Kluyveromyces lactis: one gene and its partner. The protein of the gene in region 1 interacts with the protein of each later gene in a biochemical or structural test. Links are inferred from orthologs where the notes say so. Each region holds a gene or a part of one and is shown on either strand. Other genes may lie near its edges. The genes, in order: PAN1 and KLLA0_E08405g.

The links.
Region 2: of the proteins of PAN1 (region 1) and KLLA0_E08405g, one has a biochemical effect on the other in vitro, tested with the Saccharomyces cerevisiae proteins (4 studies listed by BioGRID). The link is inferred for Kluyveromyces lactis from reciprocal best matches to the Saccharomyces cerevisiae genes PAN1 and PRK1.

What each region holds. Positions count from the first base shown.
Region 1 is NC_006040.1:1,148,683-1,161,410, reverse strand, and holds PAN1 (actin cytoskeleton-regulatory complex protein PAN1), read right to left. Parts: upstream 8,041-12,728; coding exon 4,066-8,040; downstream 1-4,065. Other genes in the region: AIM21 (Aim21p), read left to right, coding at 1-473; DJP1 (Djp1p), read left to right, coding at 859-2,160; KLLA0_D13442g (bifunctional 4-hydroxy-4-methyl-2-oxoglutarate aldolase/oxaloacetate decarboxylase), read right to left, coding at 2,377-3,084; U2 snRNP complex subunit IST3, read left to right, coding at 3,420-3,920; KLLA0_D13376g (alpha-mannosyltransferase), read right to left, coding at 8,562-10,553; RRM3 (DNA helicase), read right to left, coding at 10,844-12,728.
Region 2 is NC_006041.1:749,954-762,592, forward strand, and holds KLLA0_E08405g (Ark/Prk/Nak family serine/threonine-protein kinase), read right to left. Parts: upstream 8,586-12,639; coding exon 6,252-8,585; downstream 1-6,251. Other genes in the region: FAP1 (Fap1p), read right to left, coding at 1-84; LYS12 (homoisocitrate dehydrogenase), read left to right, coding at 717-1,826; rRNA (cytosine-C5-)-methyltransferase RCM1, read right to left, coding at 1,936-3,411; histone deacetylase HDA1, read left to right, coding at 4,095-6,209; KLLA0_E08449g (uncharacterized protein), read left to right, coding at 9,765-11,033; transcription factor TFIIIB subunit BDP1, read left to right, coding at 11,289-12,639. UniProt on the Saccharomyces cerevisiae protein: Protein kinase involved in the regulation of actin cytoskeleton organization and endocytosis. Phosphorylates PAN1 which disrupts the interaction between PAN1 and END3, and between PAN1 and SLA1. Phosphorylates SCD5.

The DNA of each region.
Region 1 (12,728 bases):
ATAAACGTCTACCAAAAACTGTTGCCTCAATTGAAAAAGTGGAAACGAAATCCACGTCTAATATATCTGTCGTAAAGGCATGGACTATATCTTTCAAGCCCGACTTGCCGGAACGGGCTGATGATCAACCAATGGAGGCAGAATTGACTGCAGGGGAAGCAATTGCGCCATCTGAACCAGCTGGCCTTGAAGATGTTGAAGCAGAAGATCTGAACGAAGCCTCACCAGAAGAACCTCTGCAAATAATTTCTGAGTCTGGAAACAGCGATGAGTCTGAAATACAGCATACTTCAGATCCGTCCATTGCACAGAATGTGGAACATGAAGAAGAAGTACATGAGGAAGCAGAAGCAGCGCCTGAAGCAGAGCCTGAAGCAGAAGAAATCGCTTTGGATACGGAAGAATCGAATCCTACGGCTTTTATCGCTGAAACTTATGATGAAGATACCGAAGTAGAAACTCCCACAGCTTGAACTAAATACTCATACATTTGAAAAGTAACACTAACATCTAGTAGCTAAGTCCATAGATAACGTCTAGCAGGTATACCCTGGTGCCGATACAGGGGAGTTCTTGTATCTTTGAATATACCTATTAAAAGTTACCCGCACTTTATTACTCGACCCAGATAAAACTCGATATCAATATCAAATGCACCAACAAGGCGATACATAATGATTTTAGTAGTCATTGATGAGTTGACAGCGTTGTTGAAGAGCACATATTATCACTCGAGCAACGTTTCAGGCTTTTGAAAGGTACATTCGTATATCTAAGAGTGTTTGGAGCTTTTGGTTTGGTGCTATAACTGAGGTAAACGGTCTAGAAAGAAGAGCATTTAGGATCTATAGTAAAAGAATGGTGGTAGACACGACATATTATGACTTGCTAGGCGTAGCTACGGATGCCAAACAGATTGATATCAAGAAAGCGTACAGAAAAAAATCAGTGAAGGAGCATCCAGACAAAAATCCCGATGATCCCACAGCAACTGAAAGATTTCAAGCTATTTCTGAAGCTTATCAAGTCTTGAGTAGCGAGGAGTTACGTATGAAGTACGATAAGTTCGGTAAAGAAGAAGCTATGCCTAAGAATGGCTTCGAGGATGCAGGTGAACAGTTTGCTGCGATATTCGGTGGTGAGGCATTTACGTCTTATATTGGGGAATTAACGTTGTTGAAGAATATTCAAAACACACAAGAGTTAAGTGAAGAGGACGAAAGAGCAAAGGAACAAGAAGCAAGTGAAAAGGCCACTCAGCAAGCTCATAATTTGAATAATAATAACAATGCATCTAATGGTGATGATGACACTAAATCTGCTGAGGATAGCACTAATAATGGAACTGCCAAGAAGCTAACATCAGGAGGCGATGATTCGTCCAATCCCGAGACTAAGAAAAAGGGTAAGCTAGAAGAGTTCGAAGAGCAGCAAATGTTAGATAAAGAGAAGAGTATAGAAGAGCTCAGTAAGACGTTATCGGACCGTTTGTCCATACTAACGGAAAGTGCATACGATGATGCTTGCAAGGAGTCATTTGATAAAAAATTCGAAGAAGAGGCGAACATGTTGAAGATGGAATCGTTTGGATTAGATATCTTGCATACAATAGGTGAAATCTATTGTGAAAAGGCGAACATATTCTTGAAATCACAATATTTATGGGGTTTTGGAGGTTTTTACCATTCAGTAAAGGCTAAAGGTGGCTTAGTGATGGATACCGTACGGACCGTTTCTGCAGCCTTAGATGCTCAATCTACCATGACTGAGTTGGAGAAATTAAAGGAAACTGCGAACTCGGAGGAACCACTAAAGGATGAAGCTGGAAACGTTGTTGAAAAACCAACTGTGGAAGAGTTAGCACAATTGGAGCAGTTATTAATGGGTAAAGTCCTTTCAGCCGCATGGTACGGCTCAAAATTCGAGATCATGTCAACTTTAAGAAGCGTATGTGATAAAGTTCTAGAAGATGAGACCGCCGAGATGTCAACAAGGATAAGAAGAGCTGAGGCTTTGAAAAGACTTGGGAAAGTTTTCAGAAGGGCATACCGGACGAAAACAGAACAAGAGGATGCCCAAGTGTTTGAAGAGCTCGTGGCGGAAGCAAGCAAGAAAAAGGGTCATAAGCATCACACTAGCAGCACTGCCAATAAACAGTGAATACAAAATATTCTCAAACCGAGTGCTTCCTACCTAATAATAGCATAAACACTTGCCAATTCTTGTTTTTTCATTCTTTATTTCTGCATCATGTTCATATATACATACATAGCTTGCTACTTAATTGACAATAATATTAATTTAACATAGCGATAAACTTTCGACTACGCAACCGAATATTGCAACTCCTGACGATCAACGGGGGAGGGCTGTAAATTACAAATATTGTTTAAGAATTGCTCTACGTTCTGATTGAGACTGAGCAGCAGGTTTTCCCTCCTTTATGTCTTGAGAAACAAGGTCATCGGCTTCGATAGACTTTTCTATATATGTGATCAACTTATCTAAGTCGACGGCGGCAGTTGGAATACGAACCATTCCATGATCATCACATACCAAATAATCGCCGGGATTAATTGTCTCCGTAGTGCCATCGCTAATCTTAATCTTCAACTCACAGTTATACGAAATCGGTTTCAAAACTGCTTTTGGAGCACAGGTACCGATACCGTAACTGAAAACGCTGTGATCCAATGCCTTATGCTCTTCGATATCTCTGATTCTACCAAATACAACCGTACCATGGCTGCCTAAATATTTTGCTCTTGTAGACATTAATCCACCGTACATGCCCTGAATAGGTTTGGTATATGGAGCACTGCTCAATTGTAAATCTTCAGTCATACCGATGGTTACGATAGATTCTGCTGGCACATTATCGATGTAATTGACACTGGGTTTATCTTGGGTAGCATTTTTATGCCCGAACAACACAGGAAAAGCCCTACCCACGATAGTCCCAGACCCTGACCTTCTCACCAAATTAGGGAAATATCCACCATTAGTGATTCCATACAAATTCAATAGCCCATCTGAGATGTCACAAGTAGTGAAATGTCTCAACCTTGCAAGATACTCTGACATTCTGCGTGTGGGAATTATAATTCAGCAGCGATCCCGGTAGTGCATAAACTCTGGATTTAACTTCTTTCGAGCGATGGAAAAGTGTTGATAATTTAAAGGTGTTAAAGATTTGAATAAGTTTCTTGAAAGTTCGTTTATATAAGAACAAGAAGACAATTGAAGGTGTTACGCACGAATGGAGGAACCGGAGAAGAATTTGACGGTTACCGAAAAGGAGCTGCAATTTTCTGATAGAAAGGATAAGGAATAACCAATAGAGCTGGTACTTTGCGGTCATTGGGAGGCTGGTTCAACTGTGAATATTTGGAAGTGAAGATCCAATACGATTATCAATTATGAATCAGATAAGGTCGATACAGAAACTTAGTGAAAGGGAGTTGGAATGTGGGATTCTAAAGCCAGAAAGCTCATGGCATCATGAGTATAAAGATCAGGCCTACATAAACTTTGGAGGGATGCACCTCGAATTGACAGAAGCTGATATTCTCACCATATTCTCCCAGTACGGCTGTCCTGTGGACATCAAACTTGTACGCGACCAGACAACTGGAAAATCTAAAGGGTTCGGGTTTCTCAAGTATGAAGATCAAAGATCGACTATACTTGCGGTGGATAACCTAAATGGAGCCAAGGTTTGTGGAAGACTGATACGAGTAGATCATGCTTTTTATAGGCCAAGATCCGATGAAGCTGAGTACGAGGAAGCTGTAAGACAAGAGTTGGAGAAGGATTTCGCAAAAACAGGAGACGTACCGAGTGAACCCATGAAGCAAGAATCGGTGGCTGACCCGTTGGATGAGTTTGCTGATCCAATGGCTGCGTTTCTGAAGAAATGAAATTCACATTCCTAAAGGAACAAGTACGGAGCAGTTCTTTTATGACAACGTAGACTTTTAGTTTCAAATGATATTTATGTACATATCCTGTAACTACTTTTCAATAATTTAGATACATGAATTTACGGACGCGAGAGCATATAACTTATGGCATCGGTGGTGGTGGAGGGATGACCGGCACTGGAGGAGCGGGAGGAGCGGGAGGGATTGCGCCAGTAGGTGCGACAGATACATCTTCAGCACCTGGTGTATGGAACTTATCTTCCTCATCAGAGGCCACCGACTCTGGGATAGATAGTACGTCGGATGCATCATCCGGCTTTGGTTCTTCGTTCTCTGCTAAAGTTGCAGTTCCTCCTACTTTTAGTAAAGGAGCTGCCACAGGAACAGCAGGTGCTACGTCACTGTTTATTTGAGGCAATGGTGGGGCGATAGGTACTGGTGGGGCACCAGACCCTTCAGTAATCGACGTAGGCAATGGAGGTGGAGGTGGGATCAGGGATGATTCGCTTTTAACTAAAGGCAAAGGTGGTGCAATAGGAACAGCGACAGACGATTGTTCTTGAGTGGTTGCAGAAATCTGTGGGAGAGATGGTGCCACAGGAACGGACGCGGTAGATGTAGCAGGAACAGCGGTACTACTGACATCAACAGCTTTGTTGGCTGTAGTATTTACCTTCTCTGTTTCGTCATCATCTGACCATCCGTCACTGTCATCCAAGCCTCGTTGAACCCTTCTCTGCTGTTCAGCTGCCTTCAGATCAAACGAAGATGATTGTGAAGGAGCTTGCTTGAAAAATGGATTTCTGCCACCAGTTGGAGTGTTATTCAATTGTGGGGTACCAGCACCAGAGGCGGGTTTTTGCTGTGTTGCTTCACTCTTGCCAAATGGATTATATTGGTGATGTGATCCGGCTTGTGATTGGTTTCCAGTAGGGTTTGTTGGTGTAGGTTCATCATCCCAGGAGTCATGACCGTTATCATTCTTAGTTTCTGCTGGTGATGAGCTGGTTTGACGCTTGGCTGCTAATCTAGCTTCTTTTTCTTGTTTTTTCTTCAGTTTCAGTTTTTCTAATTGTTCTAACAATCTTCTCTCCTCCTCGTCCTCCTCATCTTCATCATCATCGTCGTTAGCTTTTGGTAGATTGGAGTTGTTTACCGCAGCAGCAGGTTGACTGGGTTGTTGGTAATAGTTAGGTTGCTGTTGCTGCTGTTGCTGCTGCTGCTGCTGCTGCTGCTGCTGCTGTTGAGGCTGTTGTTGCTGAGTCAATTGTGGAGGATTAGGTGATGATTGTGAACTCCCTGATTTCTTTTTGATTCCTAATGCTGCCAATTTTTCTTCCATCTTCTTTTTAGCTTGTTCTTTGACATATGCAGATCTTTCTTCAGGTGTTTGGAAACTTGAGTACGAGTCTTTTTCTTCAGGCGCACGAGCGTTGTTTCTATAGGTTGCTGAAGAAGAGATTTGAATACCGTTGGAGTATCCTGCGGTATTGTAAGAAGAATTATCGAAGTTTCTTCTGTTTTTCCAAGATATGATAAAGTCTCTGACTTCTGGTTCTAGACCGATACCAGATTCCCATTTATCCATTTCGAGGCCCATTGAAGGAGTTCTTCCGTGAATTATAGCTTGCACCGAAGAAGAGATCTCTTGAATCCAGGTACTGATGTTATTGATGGCAGATTGGTTCTTTTGATCATCTTTTTCGATAGTTTCAATTCCTTCGTTGAAATGTTGTGCTTGTGCCTCCAAATTATCGTAATTTGGTTCAGGTCTACCGACTAAAGTACACATTCCTGCAGTCAGGGTCAGTCTTTGCCTTGCATTCTTACAGTCTAACTCAGTGATTTTACAGTTTGGGCCACTACCACGGATTGGATGATCTACCTTCAAGTGGTGCAATGCCAACTGACTTGAAACCAATTCTTTGCTCACATCAGAAATTTCTTTAAAAAGGTTTGGAATTCTGGCTGTCAAAGTATCAAATCTGGATTGTAAATCATGTGGCACAGCATTGTTTGCAGAAGGTGATTTTTTTGAGGTTGAGGGCAACGCTTGAATTTGAGATTTCAAATTTTCAATTGACCGTAATAGATCAGCATTTTCAGACTGCTTTCTTTGCGAGTCATTTTCCAATCTTAATTTTTCCGAGGCAAGCAATTCCTTCTTTTCCCTAATTAAGTTCTTTAAGTTTTCAATCTTCTCCTTATTCTCATTAACCTTCTTAGACTGATCGATTGTCTTTCTACGATTTCTCGAACTTGGCAGTAATTCGTCATCGTTGTTTCTAAATCTCAAACCATCTTCCTTAGTTGGCTGTCTATTATTTTTATCAACACCTTGTTTCAATTGATCTTTGACTGTGTTTAAAATCTTTGTCGAGGATGGAATTAGACTTGGAGGCAACGTATTTGGTAGAACCTCACCGTTCAACCTGCGATAAACTAGATGCATACCAAGTGCGAATTCTTGTTTGTTCAAGTTACCACTATTGTTTGTATCACATAGATTCCAGATATGTTCTAGGTCTGACCTGTTCAAACCAGATTTACGGAAAATTTCAACAGCAGTTGCAGAGTCAAGGTTCCCTGTTTTCTCAACATCATAAGTCTCAAAAATCTTGTAAAACAATGATTTTTCTTCTGGAGTGATGGCCTCTTCCTTTCTTGCAATGAACTTAGAAGCAAGATTAGCTGAAGTGTAAAGATCGTTGTTACCAAATCCTGTCTTCTGAGCTTGAAGTGGCGCAGTTGCTTGAAAATTGGATGGAGGTAAGTATCCAGTAGCTTGTGGTTGCAAAAATCCACCTCCAGTAGCCAAACTTGTCTGCATTGGAGCTTGCTGTGTGAAAGATGTTTGCGGCATTGACCCTGGTGGTGGTATGTTCAAAACAGAGCTAAATCCACCAGTGGTTTGAGCGTTCAACGGTTGATTGAAGGAATTTTGAGGCATGAAACCCGTGGATTGTGGTTGTAAAGCTTGGGAAGTGTTACCAAAAGAAGTCTGAGGTGCTGCTCCATACCCACCAGTTGGTTGCTGAGTCAAACCCTGGAAACTTTGTTGCTGCGGTTGTTGTTGTTGTTGTTGTTGTTGTTGCTGCATCTGCTGAGGCTGACTTCCGAACGATAGCTGTGGCATATAGCCAGTAGGCTGGGGTTGCATCATTGATATTCCAGCAGTCAAGTCATCGAACGGTGTCTTAGGTTTTTGTTCGACTTCCGAATCATTCGAAACACTGAAGTTAATAGCATCAACAAAACTGGAAACCTCCGCCTTGGTTCTCGAATCCAACTCATAAGGAATGGAATCACCTTGCAATACAGAATTGACTAGATACATTGCCAATGCAAATTCTGGGAAGAGAAGCACACCAGCCTTATTAGTATCTGAGAGAGTCCAAATTTTGGCCAATTGATGAGGCTGTAAGCCAGATTTGACCAAGATATTTCTGCACTGGTCACCAGTTATAGTGTTGGAACCAGGAGTGACAACCGATCTAAACAACTTCTCAAATTTGGCCTGATCCTGAGTGGTAATGAAAGACAATCTAATGGCAGGAATCTTCAAAGTGTTGTCAACACCAGTATTCGCGAAGGAATTGATGAAACCGGTGGCGGTTGGCTTCAAAGGTTCCAAAGGCTGCTGCTGAGAATAGAAGCCAGTCTGTTGAGGCTGTAACGGACCTGTTGGTGCATTGACAGCAGTAGTGCTCATCCCTTGATTGAAAGACGTGTTCATTGGCATTTGTTGTTGAGGCTGACCAAAGGATGTTTGCGGCATCATAGAATTGAATCCCGTCAATTGTTGGGTCAGTGGCATTTGTTGTTGCTGATTACCGAATGGTTGTTGCATGCCTTGTTGTGGTTGTGATTGTGGTTGTTGTTGCTGTGGCTGTTGTGGCTGCGCCTGTGTTTGTTGACTGAAACCTGTAGGCTGTTGATTCAAAGCGCCAGCGTTGCTAAAGGTTTGAAATCCACTGAATTGCTGCTGCTGGCCCTGAGTAGGGACCTGTTGTTGATAAAAATTCCCATAACCAGTTGACTGAGGTTGGGCATTGAATTGCTGTTGCCCACCAAATTGCTGCGGCTGCTGGGGCTGCTGCTGGTACTGGTTGTACATAGCAATTAGTAAATGGTTGGTTGACCCTTGAACTCGCTGAGCAATACTGCGATTCGCACCTCCTAAATCAAGATCAAAGTTGTCTTTAAACCCTTTGAATGGGGAATCATTTCAACCAAGAATTTCGTCAAAGTCTCCTATTCGATGATCACAAAATACGAAGAATATCGAAGCGTCAGTGTCAGTGGACGGATACTACAAGAACACTCGAGTCCGAGAGTGATACTGCGTCTATAAAGCAGATTACACCTCGGGGAAACTTCGTGAGCTATCTTCGCATGATTCTGGAGCAAGTTGTGCGGGTATAGGGTACATAATACGGCTGATGTCACTTTAGACATCTGTTTAAAAGTTTAAGTTAAACTACGTAAGTACAGGATGGTGACAGAGGAAGTGTTTTAATGAATACCTCTACTACACCATGACAGTTACACTATGATCAAAATATCAAAAGGCCAGGGGGGTTGGTAAGAACAGGAAAAAAAAAGATCAAGTTAATGGCGTTGGAGATGAAGACACTACTATATTTCCATGTTATCATCAAGTTTGACGTTTGAATTCCAGATATCCGAAACAGATTGTAAACGTGAAATAGTATCGGTATCGAATTTGACTATGGTTCCTACGTTTTCTTTTGCTGTGGCACAATAAGTGTACTGATGACACTCCTTGATTTTTTCCCAGGGATATTGCCCAACATTCGGCGTGATATAACCACTGATAGATAATGAAGAATCATACATTTGCTGTAAGGCAACAGGGTTGCCGTATTTCTCTTGGAAATAGTCAGGGTCGTGGTCGAAATCAGCCACGGCACAGTCTTGTACCTTACACTTCTTCAACCCACCGTTGGACCATAGTAAAGTACCTTCTGTGCTGACGTGAGCCATTTGGGTGCCACATATTTCAAAAGTATCATCAGGCTTGTTTTTAACGGTACCCATGATGGAACCTTCAGTTGGGTATATAGAATATTTCTCTCCGGCGAGCAATTGGCCAAGCCAAAATATTTCTTTATCGCCGTAAACGCATCTTTGAAGCTTACCATCGATATTCATCATAGTTGAGATGAGTAGACTAGATAATTTTTTAACTCGATCAACTACAACTAATCCACTATCTATGTGATGTAGTTGTAAGTTATGGAAGAACTTATAGTATATCTGCTCTTCCATAGATAGAGTATCGATATTGATATTATCATTCTCCACAAGTTCGAGGGGGAAAGTAGATCTATGGCTCATGAAATGGGTTTCTTCTACAGACGGGAAAAGCTTCTTTAATGTATCTGTACAATAAATAAAAGTTTTCTCGCCTATAATATTTCTGTCTCTGAATAACAGCATGCCAGTGTCCTGATAACCTTTGAAATCAAAATAGGATTCAAGACTGGCAAATGACACAGAGTCCGCATCCAGTAGAATACATTCAGAAAAGGTATTGAACAATAATGCCATCCATTTATTTATGAAATAATGGACGTATTGACCAACGAATGAAGCATCGATTAACGGTTCAATATTGACAAAATAAACCTGCTGTGATAATTTTTTTGCGTTTAAGAATGAATGAATGTCGTAAATGAAGGCTTCAGTAAGCTCAGATCCGTTGTGAATAACTTGTATTGGAAGTGTATTATTTAAATTCTCCAAAGTGAGAAGTAACTTCTTGAACTGGTCACCGTGCCTCAGCCCCAATGTCAGTACAATTCCCTTCCCCTCTGCAAAATTATTCCAATTATAGAAGAATGAATAATTATCATCCATTTTCCAGGTGTCTTTACCTTCTAACAATGGGTTACTAAAAGAAGGAATCAACGTCCAAGGATTGACATGTATCATTTTAGGCCACAAATGTCTGAATGGTGTCTTCTTTGAGAGGAAAGGGAATAATCTCGATTCAAGATCGTTTGGCTTCACGACTGATCTCTTGAACACCTTGGATGTGGATAAACCTCCACTGATGAAACAAGAATCATACATCCTTATCCGTTCTAACATAAGCTCTGCCAAGGGGTCATCCAAATTATTGTCGTTATGGAAGTCTTTAATATGATCATTATTCCATGTTGGGTTTATTTCCAATGTTGATTCGAAATAAAAACGGCATTTCTGCTCTAGGGGTAGCGTTGGCCAGTCCAAACCAATCTTATGATACTTATTAGTAGCATGTAGAGCCAACGAAAGCCATTTTCCGAGGTTAAGCGAGCTTGCGAGTCTATAAAATGGAGAGTAAATTAGTGCTCTTTTACCTTCAAAATGTGGAACAGTTGAATTTGGTACTGCTCCGCTTGGTAATAGAAAAGATATAAACAGCAACGTAGTTACAATCCCAAGCACCTTGATGCTAAATATCCTTCTCCAACGAAATTTCATCGCTTCAGGGCCACAAGCATAGTCTCTCGGATTTCTTTCTTGTTTTGAGTGCAGATAGAGTCTCAGCCTCATCGGACAATTTGATTTACTTTGTTTATTCATTACATATTTTAGATTATTTGGCTTGTTAACTGACATTGAATAAACAAAAGATAAAAAAAAACATCACAGACCCCTATCATCGATATAATAGGACCCGAATGTGTATCGTTACAGTATATCAACAAATAACTGCCTTATGCCTTTTCTTTTTTGATATATATATGCTTTATTTATCATTATGCGTATATGCCATGAATGTTCGGCGATTTGATGAATAATTTAAGTTTAGCTTTTAAGGACAGCCCCAACTGGGACATCTCCTCCATGACATGAAATAATGTGCGCTCATTCATACTCTAAATTTTTTTTTGAGGTTGTTAAGCTATTCATGTCTTTAGTTTATGCAAGTTTTGGTAAAAGTCCTTTACCTTTTCATTAACCTTAATTTTATGAGGATCAAAGTTTGTTATTTGTAGTCTATCCTTCGAGACAGCTCTTGATAATGCCACATAAACTTGACCTGATTCAAAGGTCCGTTTCAGGTCTACTTTTAGTCTATCGATAGTTTGACCCTGGGATTTGTGGATGGAAATTGCCCAACATAGCATTAAAGGTAATTGTTTCCTGACAGCAGAATCCTTCTCAGTTTCTCCGACAGAGAATTCTTCTGGTTCAACTAGTTTAATTTGGTATCCTCTGATGTCTTGTTTGTCTATGAATTTCACAACAGGGAACATGATTGTCGATAGAATACCGGGCCCATTTACGATTTTACTTGCTTTATCCAATACGAAGTTAAGAACTTCTTGCCTGTTTGTTGGTCTAAGATTGATATCCCGTTGTAAGTCCGAAGATCTACCAGATGGTGGCACACCAATGGCTCTGCAAACGCATCTCATATCTTGTACAACTTCCGGATCGCTTAGATCAGGGAATATCTTGGATGCTTCCAAGAACAATGCCGAAGTACAGAAAAAGAGGACTCTTCCTAAGGAACCATTGACTAAGGTATCATCGATGTTTTTCAACATCATTACTTGGGCATCCTCCTTCAGTTTGATTTCTTTTTCTGCCATAACGTTGTTAAGAATATTAGAATTGATATTAGGAGGGATAAAATCTACTGCCTTGTAAAGGATTTCATAACCTGGCAACCTCTCTAACCTACGTTTATTGGACAGTTCCACTTCACGTCTCGTTGGGTAAAGTTCGGTTGGTTCAATGCCATCGTCGTATTCCACTGGTGCTTCAAATTTTTTAATTAGTTTAATGGTGTCGCCAGATGTGTTACCCATTCTAATACCGTTCAAAAGATCAATCAATTCATTATCAGTCTGCCTGAACACCTGTTGTAATAGTATGGTTTTGTGGATAGCATATTTCCATACGTTACTCTCAAAGCAAAAGATTGGACCAGCCTTATTTGAATCTCTATCTGGAACAGGTGGAAGCTGGAAAAAATCACCTGTGAAGACCAACTGAATACCACCAAAAGGTTTAGTTCTATTCAATAAACCTCTTCCAATTGCATCCAGTTTATCAAGGAAGTAGCCATCAATCATTGAAATTTCATCCACAATCAAAACTTTAGTTCTCTTCCATCTGTTAAGACTAGTCTTGTTTCTTTTGACCATATTGATAAGTCTATTAGCATCACCTTGGCCAATACCTACACCAGAGAATTTGTTAATTGTAATACCTCCAATATTAACCGCCGCAAGACCTGTGGAAGCAGTGACCGCTACAGCATCTTTCCCATATTTTGCATTAAGCGTCGAGATCATGGTTCTCAATATAACGGACTTACCTGTACCTGCGCTACCTGTATAGAACACATTCAATCTATCTTTGCACACATATTCTATTACTTTCCTCTGCTCTGCAGTTAGTTCAATTCTTCCGTTAATGCTGCTAGATTTGGAGCTCTTGGAACTGGTATGAGAAACGATGGATTGTCTTGGAATCGGCTTTACGCGCTTTACTGAGGAAAGAGATAACGCATTTGAAGATGAAGAACTTTGTGAACCATCTGATACATCAGAATACGTTCTCTTGACTCCTGATAATGTTCTTTCCAGCTTAGGTTTTTGCCAACTAGATTCAGTTGCAGTTGCAGTTGCAGTTGCAGTTGCAGTTGTGGAAGAAAAGTAACCCGATACTGTTGAAGTTTGGGACGAAAAGGAACTACCGGACTGACATTGAAACTGTGACGATGATAGGAACGTTTGAGATGATGGCTTAAAGTTTTTCACTGGTTTCTTTTCTCGTAGC
Region 2 (12,639 bases), on another chromosome or scaffold:
TTCATCGTTATCACTGTCAAAATCCGAATCAGAGGAATAGAGCCTTGGCTCACTTTCTGGGTATATTAGCTCTTCAGCAGTCATTTCTAATTCAACTGCTGCGATCAAGTGACGCGTTTGATGGAATGGACGCTTATATTTTAGATTTAAGCTAAGAGTCGGTATGACGGGATGAGATGAGATGACTTTTACATACAAAAACGTGAAAAAAAGTGTAAAGGCAGCAAAAGAAAAAAGAGAGAATTGTACCAAAATCCGTATAACCTAAAACCTGTACTGACGACAAAATCCCATCGATATCGAACTAGCAATGCTATATGCTGCAACATCAGATCTAGAAGTCCTCCTTGATGTGTCAACATATATGTTTATGTATTACGTGAAGGCATACGGTTATCTATCGTTTAGTCACCTGACTACTTTCAAAATGCTCGAAAGGGAGTTTTCAGTTTCCCAATGAATCGCAGATAAATTCCTGTGGAAATTCGAAATTTCATCAACCAGTCATTGGGATCATTGAAAGAAATATGAGTTACAGGAAACTGAATAACCTGTAAACTATAAATACACCCCAGTGTTACGATTTGGATTGGATTGCAGCTGTAGTTGATTCTGTGAAAACCATCACATTTTACTTTGTTTTAAGGTTATCGAACTACTTGTCCCGAAGATCAAGCAGCGAATTGTTTCATTTCGCTATATAACAACCATTCAATATGATGAGAACACGTTTCATTCAATTGTCCCGTCGTGCTTACGCTTCCAATGCGAAGAATTTAACAATTGGTTTAATTCCAGGTGATGGTATTGGTAAAGAAGTTATTCCTGCTGGTAAGAAGATCTTAGAATCATTGAACCCAAAGTACGGTCTATCGTTTAAATTCATTGATTTGCAAGCTGGTTGGGAAACCTTCCAAAACACCGGTAAGGCACTCCCTGACGAAACCATTGATATCTTGAAGAACCAATGTGAAGGTGCTTTATTTGGTGCTGTGCAATCACCAACGACTAAGGTTGAAGGTTACTCTTCTCCAATCGTTGCCCTAAGAAAGAATTTGGGACTTTTCGCTAACGTTCGTCCTGTTAAATCTGTTGATGGTACTAAGGACAGAAAAGTTGACCTAGTCATCGTTAGAGAAAACACTGAAGATTTATACATTAAATTGGAAAAGTCATACATCGATGAAGCCACCGGAACCAGAGTTGCAGATGCTACCAAGAGAATTACCGAAATAGCAACCAAAAACATTGCTACTATCGCTCTACAAATCGCTCAACAGAGATTGGAACAGAACGGTCATGCCACTTTAACAGTTACTCACAAATCCAATGTTCTTTCACAATCTGATGGTCTTTTCAGAGAGGTATGCAGAGAAACTTATGAAGCTAACAAGGACAAGTACGGAGGTGTCCAATATAATGAACAAATCGTCGATTCCATGGTTTACAGAATGTTCAGAGAACCAGAATGTTTCGACGTTGTTGTTGCACCAAACTTGTACGGTGACATTCTTTCTGATGGTGCTGCTGCCCTAGTTGGCTCCTTGGGTGTTGTTCCATCTGCCAATGTTGGTCCAAACATCGTTATTGGTGAACCATGTCATGGCTCTGCCCCTGATATCGCTGGTAAAGGTATTTCTAATCCAATTGCCACCATCAGATCCACTGCATTGATGTTGGAATTTTTGGGTTACCCAGAACCGGCAAAGGATATCCACAAAGCTGTTGATGCCAACATCAGAGAGGGTAAATACTTGACACCAGATCTTGGTGGTAACTCCACCACCCAACAAGTGTTGGAGGATGTTCTATCTAAATTAGATTAATTAATTAATATATAATGAATATATTTCTACGTTTGTTACGCCAATAACTTTGCTATGATTCGATATTTATTTTATCATGGACAGTGGATATAGAACTAATGGACTTTTACTAATCTCGCTCAAAGCATACGGCGAAAAAGCCAATGCCACCATCTTCCTTCGGTAAAGCCCTGATGCACCCTTCTGCCAACTCTTTTGCTTCCTCTTTCGGAAACACCTCTTCAAATTCACTGGTCCATCCTCTTCTAGGCCATGTTGGAATTACACCGGTTCTCTTTCTTACTTTCCAACCCCATTCCTTGACCTTTGAGTCTAAGAGCAAATCAATGACAACTCTTTCGTTTTCTTCAGCATGAATAGAACAAGTACTATAGCATATTTTCTTAGCAGATGGGAAAGACATGGCGTGTTTCACAATTTGGTATTGGAAAGATGATAATTTGGCTAATCTATTCTTCAAATCTTGTTCCTTTTCAAACAATTCTTTTTCTTGCTCCACAGGTTCAACCGAGGTCTGATCTTCATCGGTGTTTGATGACCCAGTCTTGCTCAAGTTTACTTTATCAATTGCCTTACGGCCAAATATACCAGAGCCAGAACAACTTGGATCAACGATGAATCCAGTTACATTCTGGAAAAGTTCTGGTTTACCAAGTTTTGTGAAATCACCAACATGTATCTTGACCCCCTTAGCACAACCCGCGGTGGCAACCATCATCTGTAAAGTTTTTGCACGCTCAGGATCCTTCTCAAAAGCATGTATCTTGACTGAATCGACCTTGGTGTCAACGTCTCCAAAGATATGTGCCGCAACGTGTGTGGTTTTATTGCCGGGAGCCGCACATGCATCGATAACAACGTCAGTACTGTTTGGATTGAGGATGTGGGCGGGGAAACAGGATGCCCTGTCTTGAATGATAATTTTCCCCCTCTTATATTGCTCATGCGAAGTGATCTTATCACCTGGATGAATGCCAAACAAGTTTGGAATATACTCATCGTAATATATGCTCCCAGGAACGATTTGTTTCCAAGAGTTCACTCTTTGTGGGAATTTCTTGTTTAATTCAGCAAGAACATCGTCATATCTTTCCTTGACAAGGATAGGGTTAATTCTGATCCAACGAACCGGTGTAACATCTTCTCCATCATCGGTTTTGATTAACTGCGACAGACTGGTGACTTTAAGTTTAACTTTGAGCTTTGTCAACTCAGCCTTTAACCTAGTCTGATGCTTCAAAATGAAAGTTTTGATAGGATGCTTACCCATCTGAATCCGCTTCGATTTTGAAAGTAAAAGGTCGTGTACTAGGAGCCTTATGGTATCCTTATTGAACAGCGGTTTCCCTTTCTTTTTCGGTACGTCCTCCAAGATCCCGCTCTTCTTAATGATTTTATCTAGATATTCCCTATACTGCCATGTACTACTAACAATGGCATAAATGTGACGAGGATTTGTCTTCAGCTTATATCTTTTACAACTAGTAAGTACCAAGGTCTGTAACGAACCTGCAACTCTCTTGTCTTTAGAGAGCTCCTGTTCCACGAATTCCAATACCCAGGTTGCATCACGGTAGAATTCCATCTCGAATCACAATGAAGTTAAAATGAAAATCCAATGAAATAGCGCTGTATAGCTTGTACCACAGATCCAGCAAAATCAGTTCTAACACGTAACTATATTACGTCTATTCTATACCTCATCGCGATGAGCTCTTGTTACATGTTTCTTCATACGTATTATACATTTTCAATTTTCAGTACTTGAAGAGTCCGATGTTGAAAAATAATTTCTTTTCTATTGTCACCTCAGTTTGGTTTTCTGTAAATATTGGAACTTTAAAACATCAACAATTTCCTGCGCTCATGGAACCATATGTGAAACAGCTGATCTTCATACGGATCTTCTGAGTACCAGATCCTGTGCAAGACAGCTACGTCCATATAACCAAGGTCAATCAAACGATTCTGACGGTATCTGAACACAAAACAACTTTTTTGGCCAGTAAAATTTCGAGAGATAATCCGAACGAAGAGAGTTCTCTCACAGCTTTTCCGCCATTTTCAGTGGACTTTTAGCCTTTCCTCACGATTAGAAGGTAAAAAGGCGCTCTAGGGAATTAAGCGTGCATTGGAGTTACGTAATTTGTGGTTGTATCATTCATTTCTAGTAGACCGTTTCCCATTGAAAGCTAGTTACGGTATCCCTTTTGCCATTGCCTGTCATTCAACATTATCGTGGTTACCTTTCCATAATATATTCGGAACATGGAAAGTAAAAAACCGGCTGAAGAGCCGCTGGAAAGGCCCAGCATCAAGGAAATTAAAAATGAGGGTACTGCATATACTCTGCCCAGTAAAGATGAATCTCAACGGCCTGTCATTGTTCCACCAACGAAGCCAAAGATTAGATATAGTCTTTTGAAAACCGGGATCTGTTATGATGTGAGGATGCGTTATCATGCTAAGATCTTCACGTCTTACTTCGAATACATCGATCCACATCCAGAGGACCCCCGCCGTATCTACCGTGTTTACAAGATCCTAGCGGAGAATGGATTGATTCAGGACCCAACTTTGAGTGGTGCAGATTCGATCGGAGATCTAATGGTGAAGGTTCCCGTACGTGAAGCTGAAGAGGAAGAAATTTTGCAAGTCCATTCAAGACAGCATTTGGATTTCATATCACAGACAGAACAGCTCGAACGTGAAAGTTTACTCAAGGAGACTGAGGGTGGAGATTCCGTGTATTTCAATAATGACTCGTATCTTAGTGCCAAACTTTCATGCGGTGGTGCTATCGAAGCATGTAAGGCTGTCGTCGAGGGAAGAGTGAAAAACTCAATAGCTGTAGTAAGGCCACCTGGTCATCACGCTGAACCTGAAATTGCTGGTGGTTTTTGTTTGTTCAGTAACGTAGCCGTCGCTGCTGCAAATATGCTCAAATCGTATCCTGAAAGTGTTCGTAAAATCATGATCGTTGATTGGGATATCCATCATGGTAACGGAACTCAAAAGGCCTTCTATGACGATGATAGAGTTTTATATGTATCTCTTCACAGGTATCAATTAGGCAAGTATTACCCAGGTACTATCCATGGAAACTATGACCAAACCGGCGAAGGGAAAGGTGAAGGTTTCAATTGTAATATAACGTGGCCAACAGGCGGTGTTGGTGATGCTGAATACATGTGGGCTTTTGAACAAGTTATCATGCCAATGGGTCGCGAGTTTGAACCGGATTTGGTCCTTATTTCATCTGGTTTTGATGCAGCCGATGGTGACACTATCGGCCAATGCCATGTTACTCCTGCTTGTTACGGTCACATGACCCATATGCTACTTTCGTTGGCTAAAGGAAACTTGTGTGTTGTCTTAGAAGGTGGGTACAATTTGGATTCTATAGCTAAGTCGGCGCTTGGTGTTTGTAAGGTGTTGGTCGGAGAACCACCAGATGAATTGCCTGCTCCTAAAAAGCAACCAACTCCAGAGGCAAAAAAAATGATCGAAACAGTCATCAGAACGCAGTCAAAGTATTGGTCTTGCTTTAAGAACAGACATGGAAATGACGGGATCAATTTCAAGGATGCTATAACTTCAACATTGGACACAAGGAATTTCCCTTTACAAAATGCTATTAGAGAATACCAAGTTTCACAGCTCTCATCACAATTCAACTTTGTTCAACTTCCAATTCTTGATTTGAATTTACCAGCAAATACTATGCTATGCACCTCAGGTATCCAAGACTCTGAAACACTTGTGGTGATCGTGCATGACACACCAGAGATTTGGTCTGAACGTGACACACAGACAGGAATTATTGATCCTTCTAGTTCAATTATCGTCGACAATGCTTTGAAGATGATCAATTGGGCAATGGATAGAAGATATGGAATAATTGACATAAATATACCTCAAACACTCTTTGAACATGCCAACTACCCAGGTGTTGCGTCATCACAAGAGATTCTGATATATTTATGGGATAACTACTTGAAATTCTTCCAAAATCTACAAAAGGTGGCATTTATCGGCATTGGAGATGCCTACGGAGGCATTGTCCATTTATTAGGCCATAGGGATACCAGGTCAGTGGTAAAATGTGCAATATCATTTTTAGACAAAAAACCTCTTAAAGTAATGGTGCCATTAATTGACGAAACGTTAGGAGATTGGTATTTCAAGAATTCCTTGGTATTCACAAGTAGCACACATTCTTGTTGGGGTAGTACGGCCAACGAAAATAAGAAGTTAAGAAAGAAGTATGGTAGAGTTTTGAAGGCAGATTGTGACGGAATGACAAACATATTCGATGAACGTTTTGAAGAAGCAACTGATTTCATATTGGATTCTTTCGAAGAATGGAGTGAATCGGAATAATTAGAATATCATTATAAAGATATATGTAATTTTAAAAGTATTCTATAATGCACTTGGAAATCTTCTTTCAAACTCTTTCATTTCTTTTCGAGATTGGAAAGGGCTACCCACAGAATCTTGATCGGAATCCTGCTCTTTAACTTCGGATTTTGCTGGGCTTGTTCTGAAAGATTTTGCCTTTAGGTGTTTAGGCTTAGGTGGAAGATTTGGCTTCAAATGAGCTGGTTTGGGTGGCGGTGCTGGTTTGGATTTAGGAGCCTCATGCACAGGAGTGATCACTGTACTTGATTTACGATTTGCATTGGATTTATGGTGGTCAGATATATCGGTTTTCCTCCCAATATCAGTATATTTCCCGTATCCAGTGGCAGAAGAGCGATTGGGTATATCATCTGCATTGATTAGATCTTTAACGCGCTTCTGGATCGAAGATGAAGTTTTCAAGGAAGAGGATCTTCTCAGTGATGATTTTGGTTTCTCCTTTTGTATATCTTCGATCAATTCATAGTCATTATTTTCCGGAACGAAGGAAAACGAGCTGGTGGACCGCCTATGGGATTTGGTGTTAGAAGAAGTATTTTCAGGAATGGATTTGCCTGAAGTACTTCTATACTTTCTTGCTTCTAAAGATGATTTTCTGGAACTGCTATCACCAGTGAACTGCATTGAGGAAATTCCCTTTCTTAATGCGTTAAATGCGGATTTTACGCTTTCACCGGTATTTTGTGCACTTCTAATGGTTGAAAAGCCCCTCTTCTCTCCGGTGATAACTTTTTTCATCTTAGAACCTATTTTACGAGTCAAGCTACCGCCAGTTGAGGTAGCTTCCAAGGATTCCGCAGAAGACAGAGATGATGCGACTGATTTTCTAGACAGAGATCGTGAAAGACCCAGTTCTGATGGATGATCGCTGGTTTGAGTTTCAGAGTCCACATACTTTGGTCTATCTAAGGATGTTCTGTTTGATGCCAAGATACTTGAAATGGCACCTCTACCATTTCTTACTGGACTCACAGAGGCTCTAGGCACTACTGATTGCGATCTTGTCAGAAGATGAGGCTGTTGATATTCTAGTTGTGGTATTCTCATTGCCCTCGGTAGTGATTCCATTGTAGCAGAAGTAGACAAAAGAGCAGATCTATCAATTTTGGAGAATGGATCTGAACTTGTGTAGTTTGAAACCGTCTGAGGAACTGTTTTTCCTGCAGGTTGCTTTTGTGAGAGTAAATCCTGCTGTGTGACCATAGGTTGACTCTTAGACACATGCAAATAAGGCAAGTGCTGAATAGATGCAGTTTTCGATGGAGTCTGTACGTTTGATACAACTTGGGGGGGCAGATGCTGAGTTGAAACAGAAGTTGGCACAGTTGCCGGCACAGTCATCTGTGGCACATGAGGAGGTGGCGACACCCTTGGTTGTTCCTGTTTATCCATCATTCTTAACAGATAAAAGTTTTTGATTGGACATGGAATGCCTTGAATACGTGAAACCTCTTCTACCACTTGACAAATATTCGGACGTTTCAGAGGATCTACACGTAACATGACACTTATCAAATTTTTCACTCTATCAGAATAACGTGGATAGGCTGGGAACTCGAATTTAGATGCTAAGATGGCAGATTCCCCATTTTTCTCGAACGGCGTAGTATAATAGCATGTTTTGTACAGGAAGACACCCAATGCCCAAATATCAGACTTCTCGTCTATCGGTAAACCACGGTATAAGTCGATCATTTCTGGACATCTGTACTGCGCCGTTGTATTTTTCATTATATCGTACTGGACATAGTTAAACTCCTCTGTATTTCTTGGCGCTCGAATGACACCAGACACTGATCCGAAATCACAAAGCTTAAATTCATGATTTTTCGAGAGCAAGACATTCTCAATCTTAATATCTCTATGGATCAATGGTGGTTGCAGAGCATGCATAGCAGCAACACCTTGACTCACTTGACTCATGATATTGAGAATCTCAAACTCTTGAAGTCTATTCTGCAATCTGGTATTCATGAAATCGATAAGCCCACCGCCAGAACAGTATTCCATAAGCAAGTACACTTCATACATTCCTACGTTAACCGGAGACTTAGTGGCATGTGAATCGATATACGAAACAATGAATTTGTTGCCTCTAAGAGCCTTCATTGAATCCACTTCCGCCCTCAATGTGTTAAGACTTGCTTTGTCAGGAACAACAACTCTCTTTAAACATGCTACATTATCTGGGCATACCGGATCTGGCGGGCTAATTTCAACGGAATATACATGCGCGAACCCACCGCTCGCGAGATATTTCAAAACCTTCACCTGATGCGATCCAACAGGCAATATGGTACCCGATGCGTATTTCTCAATTTGCGGCTGATTCATTTTAAAGATCCATATAGATGTGAATTCAGAATGCAAAGAAAAAGAGAAAAGCCAGCAGTTAAAATACAGTAAGCGTATAACGCCAACACAAATGGGTTAACCTTCGAGAAAACTTTTGCAAATGCCGTCTTTCCTACGTGCTCTCTTGTACTGTGACCTATAGCACAAAAGTATATAAGCAAATTGATGGAAATTTGTCCAGGCAGAATGAAGTAAAAAAAAATAATGCAAAACTCACAATTGATAAAAGTGCACCACTTGGATGAACTATGAAATGCAAAAAAAATAAATGTAAGGATAAAACCCCGTAGCTTGGTGGAACTACTATGCTTCTTGTTGCCCTGCTCAACGCTGTAAACCTCATTGAATAGCACTTAATTTACCAAATCTATAATTTTTTATATGAAAAAAAAACTGACTTCCATTTTCAATGTTCAAGCCTGATTTTTTTGTCAACATTGGAAAATGTTAATAGGGGCGGGTCCCTAAAAAGAGTGATAACAACTGCAAGGAAAAAGGAACAATAGGTGAAGGCAAGTCTTGGACCCTGGTGCTTACTTGTGCCCTTATTTTTTGTGGAGAAAAGTTTCTCAGCAGGGAATAGTTACAGCGGTGGCCTTGTGGTTTTGCTAAGGCCTCCTATGCTAATAAACATTAATTTGGAATAATGTGGCTTAAAAAAAAGTGATGGAATATATGGTTCTCTTCAGCCTGTGAGATGTCAAGATGTTGATGTTTTTTATCTAACCATTTCAGTCACGTGCCACCAGATCTGGATCTTCAGAATCAGATGAATCGATATTTGTTATTAGCTGCATGTCTATGTAACATATTGCTACTTATCCGTCAATTAGATTGGTAGCTACTCGATTATTGTTCCTGAGCGGTCTCGCCACCATGCGCCATGAGTTTGGAAAAATATACGAAAAACCATAAGATCTGGTTCCTTGGCCCAGTTGGTTAAGGCACCGTGCTAATAACGCGGGGATCAGCGGTTCGATCCCGCTAGGAACCATTCTTTTTACCATTTCCTTCCACCTTCGAACATGAATCTTTCTTTTTCAGTAGTTAAAGCTATTATTTTTGATTAGAGGTAGAAAAGATTCATCTCATCCCATCGAGTAAACTAGTTTGTTAAAGTCTACTGCACTATAACCAGTCACGGTGCGAAGTCCCACAATGTCCTTCAACAAATACAAATGTCGCTACTTTGAAGAAAACAACTGGTGCTTGAAATTGCAACCTCTATATCAACATGGATTGATGACATCGATAAGTGACGGCTCAGTGCATTTATTGGATTGGGGCAACTTGAAAACCATATCCAGTATTCAATGCCATACAACCTCCATCAACGATATGAAAGTTATAAACTCCGATTTTGATACTGGTGCTGTGTTCGCTACTGCAGCAGAGGACGGTGTTAAAGTTTGGGATATTAGAGCCCGAAACAATGTTGCGTCTCTTCAAAACGATAAAGCATCTCCCTTCTTCTCATTAGATTCAAGGCACAATATGTTAGCATGTGGCACAGAACTAAAGGATTACGATGCTGAATTGCATATTTATGATATAAGAAACTGGACTAAACCTGTGCGGTCATTTGTGGACTCGCATCATGATGACATTACAGATATAAAATTCCATCCATGCGACTCAAACTTGCTGATGAGTGGGTCTACTGATGGTTACGTCAACATCTATGATTTGACTCAAGACGATGAGGAGGATGCACTACATCAAGTTATCAACTTTGCTTCCATCCATTCTTGTGGATGGCTTGGCCCGAAAAGGATTTGGAGTTTGTCGCATATGGAAACTTTTGGTATTCACGAATTGAACGATAAATCAGATGAAATGATAGAGCCTAAACCACTAGAATTTGGAGACGTAAGAGATAAGTGGGGTTGTGACTATGTTATTGATATATACCCATCTTTCATTGCAACTGGAAAAACTCATGAAAGTCAAGGTGAACTCAAGATAATACCATTCCAAAATGAACAAGTTGATGTTTCTAGTGCCCTGGTAATACCTGATGCACACGGAAATGAAGTGATAAGAGATGTGCTTATTCCAAAAAATCAAACTTCCCTCCTATACTCTTGTGGTGAAGATGGTTACGTTAATGTATGGAAGGACACTACGAACTCTTTAAACGTTCCACACAACTTTTGGGATTATACACTACCATTCACAGCATTTGAAAACTCTGTCAGAGAAATTGAAATGGATATGGGACAAGAAACAATGCAGCACGAATCATCCTCAACATCTGAACAGGATTCTACTTCTACTGGTAGTGATGATGAACATAAAGAAAAGAAAGATAAGAAGGAGAAGAAGCACAGCAAGAAGAATAAACATGGGAAAAAAGATAGGAAGAGTGATAAAAAATCCAAGTCTAAATCCAAGAAGGAGAAAGAACACCGTTATAAACCTTATTAATATTGTGTATGCTATTATCTTCTTTTACATGAACAGTCTATTTAATGCCTTCGCATATTTAAAATATACACTTATTACCCGGATATATGTCACTGTGCCTTGTTTGATTGACGAAAATATGGAATTTTGTAATAAATATGATAGTAAACATTAATATGGCGACAGTGCTATATATTTTGATGAATGCACTATTCATTAGGTAGTAGCTAACATACAACAAAGAATCTTTGAAGCTACACTACCCAGCTGACAACCATGAGTAGTGTTGTGAATAAAAGCGCCAAGCGCTTTGTTCCTAAATTAAGAGAAAGACGGATACTGAACTCCACACCGGCTCCAACTGTGGTACCACCAGTGTCCGATGACATAACCAAGTCTACTGCTGAAGATTCCCATGAAAATGAAGCCGATAACGAGGACGGACTGAATGAGTCTAGTACAGATAATACGGAGCCAAAAAGAAGTGATGAAGAATCCAAAATTAACGAAACTGTTGACGAGGACGATCCACTAAGTCAAACAACTTTAGTCAAGAATTTGAACCCATCAAGAACCAGCACTCAGATACCGGTTGTCACAGTATCAAGTGCTACCAACCGCCGTAGGTCTAGTAGACTAGACTCGCTCTCTGGAACTAAACCTACTTTCAAGTCTGGTTTCATGGGGCCTGGTTCCTTGAATACGGGAAATGTACCAGAAAGAAGCAGAAGGCTCTCCAGTATATCCACAGGGTCACTGAGAAAGAAGAGTTTAACAGTTAATTCGGAGAATGATTCTTCACTGCAAGCAATTAAGCGGAGACGAATGTCATCAAGATCCTCAACCGGAAAAGGACCGGGTAAAGTTCAAAGGATTAGTATAGTATCACGGATGAGTAGTCCAGACGACGATTCATTAACTGCAAAACCAGCTGGTGACTCTGAAAACTGCGACGATATCTTCCAAAGAACTGATGATCTTTATCAGAAATACACCATTACCAATTTGAAGATGATTCCAAAGAAAATAGCGGACAAAGATTCATCCAAATACTTGATAGACGAAGAAAACTTTACTATGGCGGACCTATGTAAACCAACGCTTCCCATAGGTGAAATATCTGAGAATTTTAGCAGGGCTAAGGAAGCTGCCAAGCTAAAGATTGAAAGGAGAAGAAAACGCAGGGAACTACGAGAAATGGCTAGAAAAGAGTTCAAGTCCTTGAATGAACTAGTAACGGAAGAAGAAAAACAATTGAAAGAGGAAAGAAAGAAAGCCGCCCAGGATCTTTTTGATACGGAAGTGCCAGATGAGAAACCCCATCAAGGTATTCAATTGAAGATGGCCGCAGATGGATCTATGGTTGTTGATGAGGAATCTATGGTTGTCGACAGACATAAGAACGCGTCTCTTGAAAATTCATCTAAAGAAAAAATTCAGAACAATCCATTCGAAAATTTATACAATTCTGCTACGTACGGTCGTCAGCAGTTTACAGATCCATGGACTATTGAAGAAATGATCAAGTTTTATCAGGCGTTATCAATGTGGGGGACAGATTTCAATCTAATATCTCAACTGTTTCCTTATAGGTCAAGGCGGCAAATCAAATCAAAATTTGTGAACG